Diceros bicornis minor: one gene and its partner. The protein of the gene in region 1 interacts with the protein of each later gene in a biochemical or structural test. Links are inferred from orthologs where the notes say so. Each region holds a gene or a part of one and is shown in the gene's direction. Other genes may lie near its edges.

The links. The genes of interacting proteins can lie anywhere in the genome.
Region 2: of the proteins of ATM (region 1) and CHEK1, one has a biochemical effect on the other in vitro, tested with the Homo sapiens proteins (2 studies listed by BioGRID, with this or other methods). The link is inferred for Diceros bicornis minor from reciprocal best matches to the Homo sapiens genes ATM and CHEK1.

What each region holds. Positions count from the first base shown.
Region 1 is NC_080746.1:27,550,012-27,553,759, reverse strand, and holds the start of ATM (serine-protein kinase ATM), read left to right. Parts: upstream 1-1,167; 5' UTR 1,168-1,349; intron 1,350-1,749; 5' UTR 1,750-1,930; intron 1,931-2,699; 5' UTR 2,700-2,744; intron 2,745-3,748. Other genes in the region: protein NPAT, read right to left, coding at 760-796.
Region 2 is NC_080746.1:10,471,298-10,475,045, reverse strand, and holds the start of CHEK1 (serine/threonine-protein kinase Chk1), read left to right. Parts: upstream 1-1,402; 5' UTR 1,403-1,422; coding exon 1,423-1,487; intron 1,488-2,315; coding exon 2,316-2,539; intron 2,540-3,748. UniProt on the Homo sapiens protein: Serine/threonine-protein kinase which is required for checkpoint-mediated cell cycle arrest and activation of DNA repair in response to the presence of DNA damage or unreplicated DNA.

The sequences.
Region 1 (3,748 bases):
CAGCAGTACAATCCTCTCTATTCTTTCAGGGGACAAACAACAAAACCCGTTTCCCACACAGACAATACACTCTGACAAGTGGCCCGTGGAACTAACCCTCCTCAAATGTAGGAAAAACTAACTAGGACTAGAAAACGTTCAAATGGAAGGCATTTCCTCAGTGAAATTTCTTGCTAACCAAAAGAATAAGAATGGCTGCTGTTTTAAAATACGCAACTGGCATTTCAAACCTCTACACTGGACGACTAATGGCGGGGGGAGGAGGATGGAGAGGGAAGGGCACCCCGCTTCGTCCCAAATTGGTTGTTCTAAGGGCGAGTTATGAGAAGGGCGTCAGGAAGGTCTTTCTACAAAGCTGGGTGGCTGCGGAAGTCCTTATTTTTCCTAATTTGGTCCCAGCTCTGACAAGGGAAAGTGCGCCCACGGTGCAAAAATACGCAGTCCGTCCGTCACGTAGACAACCCTCCTGCAGGGGTCCCAATTAAGTGTGCAGGCCTGACTTTCCCTCGGAATCCGGGCCTCAGGTGTTCTCTTCCCTCGCCACGCAGCCTCCGAGGAGAGACTATCCCCCCCACCTCCCCACAAAGAGGCTCAAACTGCCCGAGCCCCCTGCTAAAGGAGAATCACCGCCAGTCTGAACTTGTCGGCGGGGAGGCAAAACCCCGAAGCTTCCCCACCCAGGGAAAACCTTTGGCCCCAAAGGTCCCTTCGTCCTGCTTATCCTGGCCCAATATCCCTCCCTTCCGCGTCCGCGCTTACCCAATACGAGCCGGGCTACGTCTGAAGGTAGCAACATGATCGAAGCCGCAGAAGGAACCACAGTAAGAGACAAGACTCAGGTAAAAGGCAACACAGCGACAGCTCCTGCGCCGCATCTCCCGGTTCCAGTGGCGGCACTGAACCCGCGGCAAAGTGTCCCGCCTCTTTCGCTCCACGCCAGCCAATCACTTCCGCACGACAAAGAAAGGCGCCGAAATGAAACCCGCCTCCGTTCGCCTTGGGACTGACGTCATTTCCGTCCTCATATTTGGAGGGGTGGGGCTGAAGGGGGCGAGGAGGTGGGGCGCAAGCGCAGAAGCAGGAGCCAGAGGGCGAGCCCCAAACGCAAGGTCGCTCGCCATTGGTGGGCAAGGCGCAGGCGCGTTTCCTTAGACGAGCCGAATGTTTTGGGGCAGCGAGTGTTTGGAGCGGACTGGCGCGTGATGCTTGGCGCGCATGGGCAGACGCGCCGCATGGTCTGCCTTACTTCTTGCTCCCGAGTCGGAAGCTGCGCGGTCAAGCCAGGTTTGAACCGGAAGCGGGAATAGTGCGTGGACGCCTGGATCGAGCTGCTGTTGCCGCGGGGGACGGTGAGTGGGGCGGGGATTTAGGCTGCAGCCACCGCCGCCCCCAGAGATTACAATTTGGCCACCAGAGACCAGCGATAGGGGCGCGAAAGCCACGCAGTGGCTTCTGCGTGGGGGAATTCAATCGTATCCGAGCCGTTCTGCCCTAGTCCCCAGTCACCCAATCTCATGCGCTCCTCCAGAGCGGCCCTTTACTCCTCTCCAAACCACGTCTTTGCCGGCCTCCTGTCCTCATCGCTTTCTCCCGCCCTCTCTCCGAGCCCTTAGCGGACTTGGCCATGAACCTTCTTCTAAATGCCCTGAATTGAACCCCCCCTGCGCGTCCCCTTTCCCTGTCACTTTAGAGTCCAGATTTAACTAGATGACGTGACTAATCATCCTTTTTTCTCTCTCTCATAATTAGTAGTTTTAATCAGCGAGCATTTGTTGAGGCTTAAACTACCGTCGCGTGGTTAAGAGCGTGGGCTCTGGAAACACACTGCTGGAGTTCGAAAGGTGACTGTCTGTTATGTGACCTCGCCGTACGGATGTGATAGCCTTGCGTGTGGTCAGAAGTCAGGAGCGTTCGCTGCTGTTTTTACCAGGTACAGATAAGTAAAAAGACTGTTACAACTCAGGGTGATAATGTGATGGAAGAGTACTGTGATGGTAGAGGAGTGAATGAGGTTCTGTGGAAATTGAGCCTGGAAGAATCAATTTAGTTCGCAGTGGGCCCTCGCAGTGTTAAATTGCTCTGGAGGATGGTAGGAGCCTTCTAGACAAGGGAAAATGCATGTAAAGGCACAAAGTGTAGAAGGTTCCTGAAGCTCAAGAGTGAGGTTTGGCATTGAATAAAATAGATTTGGGTATTTTCAACATGTTGAAGTCATAGGAATGGATGAGATCACACTGGGAGAACATAGAGTGAGAAGTAAGGAGACAAGGATGTTCTTTCAGGTGTGGGTGGAAGAAAAACCATCAAAAGAGACTCATGAAACCATCAGAAAAGGGGGCCGCCCCGTGGCTTAGCAGTTAAGTGCGCGCGCTCCGCTACTGGCGCCCCGGGTTCGGACCCCTGGCGCGCAGGGTCGCACTGCTTCTCCGGCCATGCTGAGGCCGCGTTCCACATACAGCAACTAGAAGGATGTGCAACTATGACATACCACTATCTACTGGGGCTTTGGGGGAAAAAAGGAGGAGGATTGGCAATGGGTGTTAGCTCAGAGCCGGTCTTCCTCAGCAAAAATGGAGGAGGATTAGCATGGATGTTAGCTCAGGGCTGATCTTCCTCACAGAAAAAAAAAAAACAAACCATCAGAAAGGGAGGGAATAATGATAATTGCTAACATTTATTGAGCATTTGCTGTGTTCCAGGCACTGTGTTAAACATGTACATGAATCCATAGATAACTCTTTGAGGTAGATTCTAGTGTTGTTTTTCATCATTGAGAAAACTGAGGTTTAAAAAGATTAACTAACTTGCCCAAAGTTATACAGCTTGTAAGTGGCAGGGCCAGGATTTGAACCAGTACAATCTGGCTACAGAGCCCACACTCTTACCACTAGTAAAGAGTGGCATGCCAAGGGCAGAATTATATCCAGGAAGATGGGATGTAGGCATCCTGGTCAGATTCTACAAAGGGATCGACTTAGTTGAAATCTAAAAAAGAACATTGAATTTGTCAATTCAGAAGCTGTTACTTAGCAAATATGTATTGTTTCAGTTGCATGTTGGCAGTGGAACCTAGTTAGTTCTGGATTCATGTATTAATTGAATTCAGCTTTATCTGGTGACACTTACTCTAGCTGACTACTCTCTAGTTCTTTGGTCTTCTCTCAGTTCCTCCAATATACCATGCACTTTTCCATCTTAGGACCCTCTGGCTATGCTATTCTACTTCCGTAAAATGTTGGTCCTCTAGCTCTTTCTGTAATTGGCACCAGTTCATTCAGATCTTGGCTTTATTGTAACCTCCTCTGAGATGTGTTCTCAGTTTATCAAAAGTGGTCCTCTCCGTTGTTATTATATATTTGTTTCCTTTGAGTCATATATCACAATTTGGAGTTATACATTGATTTATCACTATACTTGCTTATTGTCACTCTCCCTCACTAGTTATGACTCCACGAGGTTAGGATTTGTGTCTATTTAGTTCATTATATGTTTAGCTATCCCTAACATAGTACCTCAAACACAGTAGTTGCCTAGTAAATATTGTTGCATGTATCAGTGAATGAATATCTCCTGTTTATATAGATAATACTGAACTGTTGTGTTTTCTTGAAAGCAATCAATGTTTGAGAAATGGAAGGAGGAAAAAACAAGTTCAGAAAAGCCACAGCTTAAAAAAAAAAAAGTTTAAGGCTGCCTCTTCCTGCAAGTATCACATGCTCAGTAAACATGCATTTTTTCGCATTACAAA
Region 2 (3,748 bases), about 17 Mb from region 1:
CTGGCTCCCACCACAAAGTTCCTTTCACTCTTCAAAAGATCAATTACAACAGCAGCTCTTAGCTTCTCCGCTCTCGTTTTTTCTGTAGCGCACTTTAAAGTTACATAGAGAGGCAACAGTCATTGCATGTGATCCTCACAATCCTGCCAGCAGCCGGGCGAGGTGCTCGGAGCTCCCGAGCTGGTCGGTGTAGGCACGTATCCCGCCCGCCCGCCAGGTCCAGAACACAGGGGGCGCGAACGCGAGGACCGCGCCGCCCGCTGTGTCAAGGCACATCTCCGGAGGGGCTTCGGCTCCGCCCAGGAGCGTGAGGGCCGCCTGGCCGAGGTCCCACACCGGAGACCACTTCGCGTCTGGGCCCAGAGATCATGCGCACTGATGCGGCGGGCAGTTCTTAAATCTCTTCAGCCAGGACCTTGCCTCGACTCCAAAGTAACCCAAGGCCCGGCCTGCTTAAACCTGGGGGTAACCTCCCGGCGCCCGCCACCTGAAGCGGCCACTCTTACGGCAGCGGTCACGGGAACGCGCGCTTTCCTGCTTTACGGCAAGGGTGCGCACGTTTGCGACCGTGTGACGCGAGCAAGTTTTGGCGGGAAAAGCGCCGTATTTGGATTCCTGTGGTGGCAGGCAAAGGACGAGGGTGAGGAGAGGCGGTCGGTAGGGTGGGTAACCAGTTTGGAGAAGGAGTTCGGGGTCCACATTAGTTAGGAGGGGCACGGCGAGAGAATGTTACCGGGGACAGGCGAAGGGGATCGGAGAGACTCCCACGGAGGGCGGTTTCGGAGGGTGGAGGAGTACTGGGGGTCCCCATTGTAGAGGGACTGGAGAGACCAACTCTCTGCTGGCTGAGAACCCCAGGGGTTTGGGCCCCGGCCGTCCGTCTGCCACCCAGCCCTTCCGCTTCTTGGGGCAGTTTGGCCCCGCCCCGGCTCCTCCCGGCCTTTGGGACGGGGTGAGAGTGGGTATTGGGACTGAGCAAGTGGAGAGGAGGGGCTGCAGGGGTCGTAGTTATTATTTCCGCCCCCATGAGGCCGCATCCTCTTACTCTCCCACCCAAACCCCACCTCTTTCACCCTCTTCCCCAGTCATCCACCGTAAAGCATTTGTACCCCAGCTCCTCAACAGAACTATTAAATTTCTTCTGAGGCCTGAGGAAGGCGGAGTTTCAGCCGTCGGGTTGCGTGGGAATGCGGATTGTGATTAACACAACAAAGTGCCAGAATTTAGAATACATACTTGCTTGTGGTTAAAAGACTTGGATAAAATGTGGATGAGGTGTAAGGGGAAACCAAGAGCTATTATTTATATTGAGGAATCATGGCAAGAGCCAGAGCTCAGTGGCTTTACAGATAATTGAGGCTTCTTCTCATCCCCATCATTTCTGGGTTCCTACCTTTTGCAGCCGTGGTTCGTAGTGGAGTCATGGCAGTGCCCTTTGTGGAAGACTGGGACTTGGTGCAAACCCTGGGAGAAGGTGCCTATGGAGAGTGAGTTTGAGTCCGCTTACCCTGCCTTCACGCTTGTTTAGTTTTCTCTCTGTTGTCTTGTTTGAGTACATACATATTCATTGTTTTGGAGTTGTTTATTCTAATACAGTGGTGCCTTAGCGAACAGATCTTTGCATTTGAAATCCAAGACTTTTGGGAACTGAAGCTGCACAATCTTTTGTAAGAATTAATTTTTTTCTTGCTTTTTTCCAACAGTGTTTGTAAAGAGCTGGAAGAGACTTCTAAAGTCAGTTTCTCTTCCCACATATCCCTTCCTGGGGTTTAAGCATAGTGGTTAAGTGAGCAAATGAACAGACACTGGAGTCAGACTGGTTTCGAACCCTCACTCTGTCACATACTGGTCATTGTTTTGTTTTCTTGGGCAAGCTTCTTAATGCGGTTGTGTGCCTCTGTTTCCTCAGCTGTGAGATGGCAATAGTAGTACCTACCGCATAGATGCTTAGAACAGTTAACACAGGTGTATGTAGTGTCGGATTGATATATGTTAGGTAATGTTATTAAAATTAAATGAATAGTGTATGCATATATGTGATGTGGCATACAATTGCTGTTATCCCATTTTAATTTATTTTATCAAGCGTTTATTAAATGACTTTTGGATGTATAGCATAATGACTTCCTTGGGACATTAACTATCATACCTTACATGTCAGAAAGGAGTAGTATCTGTTGAGAACATGGCAGAAACTGTTTCCTTGGTTTCTCCTTTGTAGAGAAAGTAATAAAGGTAAAATAGTTGGATGAGTCATGTTTAATCTTTTGAAGTTTTAAAAGAAAGAATTCAAATGTCTTCCTTTTCCTTTTTAGAGTTCAACTTGCTGTGAATAGAAGAACTGAAGAAGCAGTTGCAGTGAAGATAGTAGACATGAAGCGTGCCATAGACTGTCCAGAAAATATTAAGAAAGAGATCTGTATCAATAAAATGTTAAATCATGAGAATGTAGTGAAATTCTATGGTCACAGGAGAGAAGGCAATATCCAGTATCTATTTCTGGAGTACTGCAGTGGGGGAGAACTTTTTGATAGAATAGGTATGGAAAAGATTTAAGATACTTATTCTACTAAACGAATTTCTAAATTTGGTTTTGAATCTTGGGTCTGCTATTTGATCATTGTCCAATTGCTTATGCAATAATGAAATTGGAGTAAATTTTCTTGTTTTAGCAACTTATGTTAACACATGAAAGCATATATAGAGTCATCAAAGAAAACTTTTTTTCCCAAGTTGTATATGTGATTTTGGTTGAGATTGCTGTTTTGTAGAGTTTAAGAATGATAAACTAATCTCATGGTGAAGTATTATAATTGCAATCTATTGTTTGCCTAGACAGTTTTTTTCTTTGTAGACATTCTAGTTACATAAAATCATTGCATACATTTACAGATACAAAATAATAAATAATAGCATGTTGTTATATTTCTTCTTTATTTATTTAAATGAAATAATTGAGAATGTTCTAGGATTGCTTTATATATATTAAGTAATGTCTGTGTTTGCCACCTAAATATTCTATGTAGATTCAAAGGCTTTATATTACAGAACACTGAGGAATACATAAATTATATTCTGTGAATCTAAATTGATTATTTAAAGCTATTGTATTAACAGTTAAAAACTGATTATTAGAATCTCCAATATGTATCTCAGGAGAGAGTTGAGTGTAGAAAAAATCAAGAGTTAATGAGGGAGGCCGGCCCCGTGGCTTGGCAGTTAAGTGTGTGCGCTCTGCTGCTGGCGGCCCAGGTTCGGATCCTGGGCGCGCACCGATGCGCCACTTCTCTGGCCATGCTGGGGCTGCGTCCCACATGTAGCAGCTACAGGAATGTGCAGCTATGACATACAACTATCTACTGGGACTTTGGGGGAAAAAAATAATAAAAAATAAAACGTTTAAAAAAAAGTTAATGAGGGAGATCAAAGTACAAAAAGATAACTGACAATAGAACATTTCTTAATAAAACTGTATTTCCTGAAGGAACTTCACAGACATTCACAGCTTTGTAGTAGTGAGAGAGTATATGAAATTTAAATCTTTTGTTAATTATTTAGTGAAATTAGCTTAGATTTGCCCAGGCTTACACTTTGGCAATTACATTTCAGAGGTAGGAGAAATATTGTTATAGCATTTAGAAGAAATTAGAGGAGAATTTGAAGGATACCATATAGATCATGGTTAGTGTAAGATGAGCAGGGGCTTTCAAGGTATGGCTTGCATTCTTGATTTGGATGATAGTTTTTG